Linked DNA regions of Bombyx mori. The protein of the gene in region 2 binds, or shares a complex with, the protein of the main gene of each other region. Links are inferred from orthologs where the notes say so. Each region holds a gene or a part of one and is shown on either strand. Other genes may lie near its edges.

Evidence for each region.
Region 1: trafficking protein particle complex subunit 11 (region 2) and trafficking protein particle complex subunit 12 share a complex: the UniProt entries of both Homo sapiens proteins name them as parts of the multisubunit TRAPP (transport protein particle) complex. The link is inferred for Bombyx mori from reciprocal best matches to the Homo sapiens genes TRAPPC11 and TRAPPC12.

The regions. Positions count from the first base shown.
Region 1 is NC_085126.1:10,497,255-10,501,034, reverse strand, and holds part of trafficking protein particle complex subunit 12, read left to right. Parts: intron 1-312; coding exon 313-393; intron 394-858; coding exon 859-939; intron 940-2,178; coding exon 2,179-2,359; intron 2,360-3,332; coding exon 3,333-3,490; intron 3,491-3,780. UniProt on the Homo sapiens protein: Component of the TRAPP complex, which is involved in endoplasmic reticulum to Golgi apparatus trafficking at a very early stage.
Region 2 is NC_085125.1:14,660,444-14,664,669, reverse strand, and holds the start of trafficking protein particle complex subunit 11, read right to left. Parts: upstream 2,916-4,226; 5' UTR 2,727-2,915; coding exon 1-2,726. UniProt on the Homo sapiens protein: Involved in endoplasmic reticulum to Golgi apparatus trafficking at a very early stage.

The DNA.
Region 1 (3,780 bases), on a different chromosome or scaffold from region 2:
TTGCTTATAACCTTGATAATTCATAGTAAAATGGGAACAGTACATGTAAGTTCATAGTTACTAAAGTTATTATAGATAAGAAAGTTCCTCACTTTATTATCTTTAACATCTAAACCAATTTTGACGAAGGTTTGGATGGAAGTAGTTGGAACCATGGGAAACAAATAGAATTTCTTGTATCCCACTTTTGAGCATGTGTTTCCATTTACAAGATGTATTTTTAAATGAATACCAGACTGCTTTTAGTCAACCTGGGTGCAATCTTGGGTAGAAAGCTAGTTTATTATAAACAAAGATTATTTCTTTTTTCAGAATCAACCTGTAGACAAAGATGCAGAAAGAAGACGGGACGCTTGGATACCCAATGAAGAAGCCAAGAAGACATTGATGAAGGTCCATTTTAAATTTAGAACATTTTAGCGCAATAGACAGAACCTCTGATTGGAGCCAATCGCCATTTAAATATGTTCACGCATGAATATGATCACCAAAGATTGTGCAGAGTGTAAAATTTATAACATAGAGATAAAACTATAATTCATCATTAAAAATAAATGCTCATCATTTAGGTAATGACGTATAGGCACTGGGGAATGGCTGTGAACACATATCAAGTAAGATTTTGAAGAATTGTATCTTGTCTATTTTTTTTTATTGCTTAGAAGGGTGGACGATCTCACAGCCCATCTGATGTTAAGTGGTTACTGGGTGGTGGCACCTACCCATGCGGACTCGCAAGAGGTCCTGCCACCAGTAAATCTATGGGATTTGATCCTGGGAATTGTTTAACTAATGATTGTCATAATCACACAAAATGTTTTGCTGTAATAAATACAAACTGTTTTTTTTTATTTGCAGGCACAATCGTCACCTAAAGGTTCATTTTTCCCTGAGAGAGAAGTGTTGACCATGCCAGGATTGGTGCTTGAAGAAGAACTGGTAAGAAAAACTTAAATGAATCTATTTTTGATTATACACGAATATTTTTAAGGTACCAGAAAAAAATATCAGCGGTCTTAGTCAGACTCCGATCATGTAAAACAAATAAATATTACATATAAATATATATATATAAACAATTGTAGTATATACACAAATACGAGCAGGATTCAAAAATGGCACGGGACATTTAAAATCTCAGATCCATTTTCAATGAGGCGCGATAATTCAATTTACATTTAAATGTAGAAGGAATACGGTAATTAGAACACAATCGTGTTTTTGAAACAAAATAAATTTGCCTTATGTCTTATCGGTGAAAGATCATTTTCGCTAAACTGTTTTGTACGTTCCCCCGCCGTATCAGTGGGCGTGACGCCTATCCCTACAGTGTGTGCGAAAAGTAGAGGTATATGTGTTTCAACACTTTCAACGCTGACCCGATAGTTTGGCTTTATTAATGAATATTAGCAATTAGCATGTAAGTTTAGCATTTGGTATGTCCGTGATGTGAAATTTTTCTGTTATGACGTAAAAAATATATTTTACAGCACATTTAAACCAGAGTATATAATATATTGCGCTAAAATATGTTTGTTTTTTTATTGCTTAAATGGGTGGGTGAGCTCACGGCCCACTTGGTGTTTAGTGGTTACCGTAACCCATAGACATCTACAAATGCCGCCACCTACCTTAAGATATGAGTTTTAAGGTCTCAGTACAGTTACAACGGCTGCCCCACTCTTCAAACCGAAACGCATTACTGCTTAACAGTATAATTGGGTAAGGTGGTGGTACCTACCCATGCGGACTCACAACACGTTTGGAACCTCTGGGTCTGCGGAGGGACTTCGGTTCCCTCTGTATTTTGTACCGTATGTTCCATGGGGAGTGCTCTGAGGAATTGTTTGAGATGATCCCCTCATCTCCTTTTTATCATCGCACCTCCCGCCATCGGAGCAGAGTTCGTCCATATTATCTGGAACCGCTGCGTTCATCGACAGAGCGTTTCCAGAGGTCTTCTTTGCCACGTACCATCCGGCTATGGAATGACCTCCCCTCCACGAGCGCTATGACATGTCCTTCTTCAAACGAGGCTTGTGGAGAGTACTTAACGGTAGGCAGCGGCTTGGCTCTGCCCCTGGCGTTGCTGAAGTTCATGGGCGACATGGGTGGCCTTAAAAAAAACACGTCCTACCAGTAAAACATGTAAGTGTGTAAGTCCGTTCGTGTGCCCAGGCGGACGCGTTACAAGAGGTGGCGGTGAAGTACCTGGGCGTGAGCTGCGCGGGCAGCCGCGGGGTGGTGCGCGCCGACCACGTGACCCGGGACGAGCCCGGCCTCCGCGAGCTCATCCGCACCGGGTACTTCAGGGCGGCCGTCAACCTCACCGCGGTGCTCATCAGCGCCGCCGGACAGGGTGACTATATTGGATAACTGTAACTGGTGGTAGGACCTCTTGTGAGTCCGCACGGGTAGGTTTTTATTTATTTATTGCTTAGATGGTTGGATGAGCTCACAGCCCACCTGGTGTTAAGTGGTTACTGGAGCCCATACACAATCTACTTCACGGCAGAAATAGGCAGGGCAGTGGTAGGACCTCTTGTGAGTTCGCACGGTTAGGTACCACCACCCTGCCTATTTCTGCGGTGAAGCAGTAATGCGTTTCGGTTTGAAGGGTGGGGCAGCCGTTGTAACTATACTGAGACCTTAGAACTCATATCTTAAGGTGGGTAGTGGCATTTACGTTGTAGATGTCTATGGGCTCCAGTAACCACTTAACACCAGGTGGGCCGTGAGCTTGTCCACCCTCTTATGCAATAAAAAAAACTTTAACATGAACGTATTTTTTATGAGCATTTACGTAGCCATCATGTACCTATATTTCCTCAGCGCCAAGAAAATAATTTTATTGAGACCGGAGGAAGCTTCTCTCATGTGCGTATGCCCGAAGGGGCGGGTGCCAGCTATTAAGGTAGTTACTATACCAGCTAACTCTAGGCGGACTGTGAGCTCGTGCCTATCTAGTATCTATGCAATAAGGATGCTAGTAAATTCATTACGCGTCCTATCTCCATTTGAGACTGACTGATCGACTCAAGGACCGAATTCGTGATCGGAAATCGGAATAGGCCAATGGCTAACATACCATTACTTGCCTGCCTGGCACTTGTCTCACTCCGTTGGGTCACGAACCGTCGACAGATCGTGACCCTCACTTGAAAAACTCCATAGGAAATCTACGTTGTAACCTCGGATAATTTTTTGAGATGGATGCTATAAATACGAACGAAAAACAATTGACGTTAGCGCGTGTTGGGAATCAGGCAGCACCATCTAGCGATGACAATAGTAATTAAGCCTTTCACTTCACATCTCACCTTGTCCCTCAGGCGTGGGACGGATGCACAGACCCACGAAGCACACGCCGCGCTCCCTCCAGCTCTGGTTGACGAGGTTCTCCCTGATGCTGAGGATCAAGCTACATGAACCCCTGATCAGGGAGGCGGAGCAGTTCGGCGACTGCACCAAACCCGACATGTTTTACCAGGTAATTCGAAATGTGGACACCAGAGAATTTATTACCATTTGAGCAAGCTCTAAGCTCTAAGCTTGGCATTGCTGAAGTCCATGGATTTTTTTATTGTTTAGATGGGTGGACGAGCTCACAGCCCCCTGGTGTTAAGTGGTTACCGGAGCCCATAGACATTTACAACGTAAATGCGCCATCCATCTTGAGATATAAGTTTTAAGGTCTCAGTACAGTTACAACGGCACCCTTCAAACCGAAACGCATTATTGCTTCACGGCAGAAATAGGCAGGATGGTGGTGCCTACCCG
Region 2 (4,226 bases):
TCTAATTCTGTGTCAATTATTAAAAGATCCCAAGGACTTAAAATTTTAATTTGTGGCATGACAATAAAGGGGTCATCAACAAAGCATTTAGAAATAGGACTAAAGTCTGTACTAACAAATGCACTGGTTACTTCAAAAGGTTTGATGACAGTTATTTTACATGTAAAATCTTTCATGCACTCTAGTTTCTTGATTGCAGGAAGGTCTATGATGTATGATATTCTAATTTGAACTGTTATTGTGGCTGTTCTGTTTGTTTTTAAGTAGAATGTATTAGTGTGAGTTCCTGATCTGTTAACATTGCCCACAGAAATATGTAAAGGTTGTAACTGAGCTTCACCTTCCTTCAAACTTAAATCTGTTACTGACTCAGGGTTAGGATTTTCAGGTGAACTTAATAAAGATAATGCTATCTTTGTACTAGATACAGCAATTTCCTCATTGTTTGTTACTGTGAAAGTGGTTGGAAACCATTCTCCCTGTAGAGCAGGACTACAATTTGTAACTTCAATGGACCATTTACACTCTCTTGATGTTACTGAAGCTACTCTCAAAGGCACAATGCAATCAAATTCATAGTCAGATTTAGGGCTCATGATGAAGTGTAACAATTCTGGATGTATAATTGACTCTGACTTCTTGTCATCAGTTTTAAAATTCAATATAATTTTTCTTTTCCTTTCAGAATCAAGAACAAAAGATACACATTTTATCTGTAAATCTGATCCAACATCCTTGGGATTAGGTTTGAACTGACACAAAAACCTTTTCACTTTGCTCCCTTCTAATGTTATGGTCTGATTAATATCATCAGTTACTGGGATCTCAATAGTCTCAGATTGACTTGATATTGTCAAATACACCTTCTTTACTTCTAGGACAGCTGGATATGTTAGCCTAACATACAGTTCCACTTCAATTAACTCATCCATTCTATATTTCATCTGTTTGAATTTAGGTTTGATTTCCAAAAAACTGGAGATGTTGGCCATATCCACAGCAACCTGCAAAGGCTCTTTTTCGATCATGGACTGCCACAATTCCACAGCTTTGCTTTGAGAAGAGGATGGCAGGTCGGGTTCAGGAGCTGGAATGTTTAAATGTATAACAGACATTATATTTCTGAATATCCTATCTTTATCATTGTTTGGCACCTGGATATTTTTAGAGAGTGCTTCAATTGACAGCTGTAAATAGTCTTGTATTTTTGCTGCAAGGTATGCACACTGCAGAGCTCTGTTCAAGACATGTGAAGCTAAATACCACCATTTTTCTCTCCTGTAATCCCACAACATGTGAGTCAGCAAAGTTAGTGCTTTCCCATAGTCAGCAGAATAAAAATATTCATTTGCCATTTCAACTACTAGTTGCTTCCTCATTCTAGGAGAGTGAAATGACTTAAACTGTGAGATAGCACTGCCAAGGAAGCTGATGATGATTGTAGAATGATTGAATATCCTTTCATTGTATTGTAGAGCTAAGATAGCTGCCTGTTCTTTTTGAGGGTCATGAGGATCTGCACTTAAACGACCAGGTCTCCAAGGTCGCTGACCATAATATTCTAGAATACCATCTAAAGGATCTGGAGCAGGTGGATACTGTAATGCTTCAGCACAAAGAGAGCGCATAGCCTGTCTTCTTTTTACAGTAAACTGAGCTGCATGCTGGTAGTAAAACCCAGGATGCTGAGATTGAATGGCTGGCAGACCAGCCCTGATAGCTTCATCAAAAAGTTCTCCAAAGGCACTGTACTGTCTAGCTAGCCACGCATAATGTTCAAACAGTAGGTCAGTAGAACCAACTCTACTTTTGTATTTCTCAATGTGAGATTTTAATTGTGAAATTGCATCTCTTGGCAAATTTAATGCAAAAAGTATCTTGCACAGTTTGTAGTTAATATAGCCAGCAACTGTTCTAACTTCATGCAGGTTTGTATCTACTGTTCTTGTTTCCAGCAGGTTGTTGTAAGCATGAACATAATGCTTATGTGCAGTATTGATGTCCTGCTTCAACTCATTCAGATAGCCCAGTTTGAACTGATGTCTGACAAAGAGATACTGATGTGTTGTTTTATTGAGGTGGTCTCTGTGCTGCTTAATGTTTTTTGCTTCATGGTGGTAATAATTTTGTGCAATATCATAAAATGCATTTTCTAACCGGACTATATAACCCATTAAGTGATCACCATGAGGAAGCACAAACAAGGATTTAGACTGGATCTCACAAGCAGCACAAAGTGCCTGGGCACGCTCGGCTCCAAGCATGTACTCAGAAGGAGGAGGAGATTGCCGACTTTGTATGACTACTACAGCCACACGAGTAGCATGTCCCTCTACTGCAGCACGGATAGACTGGACTTTGGATGCACATTCTATAATTTTCTCATTCCACTGTGTATCATTCCAATCCATATCATAGAAAATGACTATGACAGCGGGTATTAGCGATACACGCTTGTGTATCCAGTTTTTTTTTAGTATGCCTTTAGGTATGTACCATTCGTATGAATTTCTCTTAGGCTTTACCACTGGAAACTCAAACGTATTGTTAAGTAATTTGAATCTCACAGGCGTGCGATCAGCGCGTCGGTTATTCGCGAATGCGTCCCAGATTTCTTTGTGAACGGCATTGTTAACTGCATCAAGTCCAGATAGTCCTATCAGAGCCAGAGGTTTCAGAATGATCTCCGTAGGGAATTCGGTATAATCATTAGGCTGGGTAGCCATTTTATATGAGCTTAATCATGCAGTAGTATAGCACACTTTAACTTCTAAATACTATTTTAAACATCTCAAATATCACGGTGAACACAAATTCAGATTCTTCTACACGACAGTGACACCCCCATCATTCGTTTCACAAATTTTTAACGTAAAACGTCAGGGAGTAATGTCAAAAGTAAAATTGAAAGCTTTGCTTTGACGTCTGACGTTTTAGAAAGATTTAGTATGTAAGTCGTAAATAGCAGTAGCCATAGAAAAAAATGTACCTGAGGGAGCTCATATAGAGTCCCTTCTTTATTTCGCCTGGTTGTGTTTTATGTAATTAACACCACAGTTGGAACAATATTAATTTTATTGTTGTAGCGGCATAAAGTAATTACATTAAATTAGTTATTTAACTCATTATAAATTATTTTTATGTTTTTCATATTTGGCGGTAAAAAAGGTATTGTGGCACAGACTATCTCCTTTTTCCCACATCTCGTGCGTTCCGGCTTACGCATAATAAAACGCCACACCACCCCCCTACGGAGAAGGAGAATCCGCAGAAAAAGAGAAAAATTATCATAGGTCGAAAGGTTTGGAGAAGTGGACTCTGCGACCTGACCGGGTGGTATATTGAGGTGTATGTGTAGGAGTAGCAGTTAGAGGTGCCGAAGGCACGAGTGGACATGAAGGGACATTAGTAGCATCCGGTTGCGCTGGTTGAGGCACAGAAACCCGCGGTGCTGGGGCTGGAACGAGATCTACTAAAGAATGCTCGACGAAAGCTGGCTTAATTCTGTCGACACTGACCGTCACCTGTTTCCCTTTTACATCAATCGACCACGTTTTTCCGTCCTCGGCTCTAGATATAACTCTATGAGGACCAGAGTAAGGTGGTTGCATTGAACGTCTAACCGAATCCTCCCTGAGCATGACATGAGAGGCGGTGGAAAGATTTTTAAATATGAAAGGTGATGGTTTAGTGTGTGAGGAACATGGAGTGGGACGCAATTTAGACATACGCTGTCTTAACTTTACGACAAAATCCGTCGGGTCCTCGAAACCAGAAGGACCGGGAGGTACTAACAGTTCCCCTGGAAGCGTTAATGTTTCTCCGTAAAGCAATTCCGCTACTGTTGCTTGTAGATCTTCTTTAAAAGCTGAACGCATTCCTAATAAGACCAAAGGTAATGCATTCAACCACGAATCATCATAACACATCAGAGAGGCCTTTAATTGTCTATGCATGCGCTCCACGAGCCCATTGGCACAAGGGTGGTAACTAGTAGTGCGTATACGTTTAGTACCACATAAATTAGTAAGGCGTCTGAAAAGGTCCGACTCGAACTGTCGTCCCTGGTCGGTAGTGATGACAGCAGGTACTCCGAATCGAGCAATCCAACCGGCTACAAAGGTGCTCGCCACTTCTTCTGCTGTTATTCCGTGCATAGGCCAAACTTCGGGCCATCGAGTGTAGCGATCCACAGCAGTCAGGCAGTATTGGAAGTCAGAACAAGA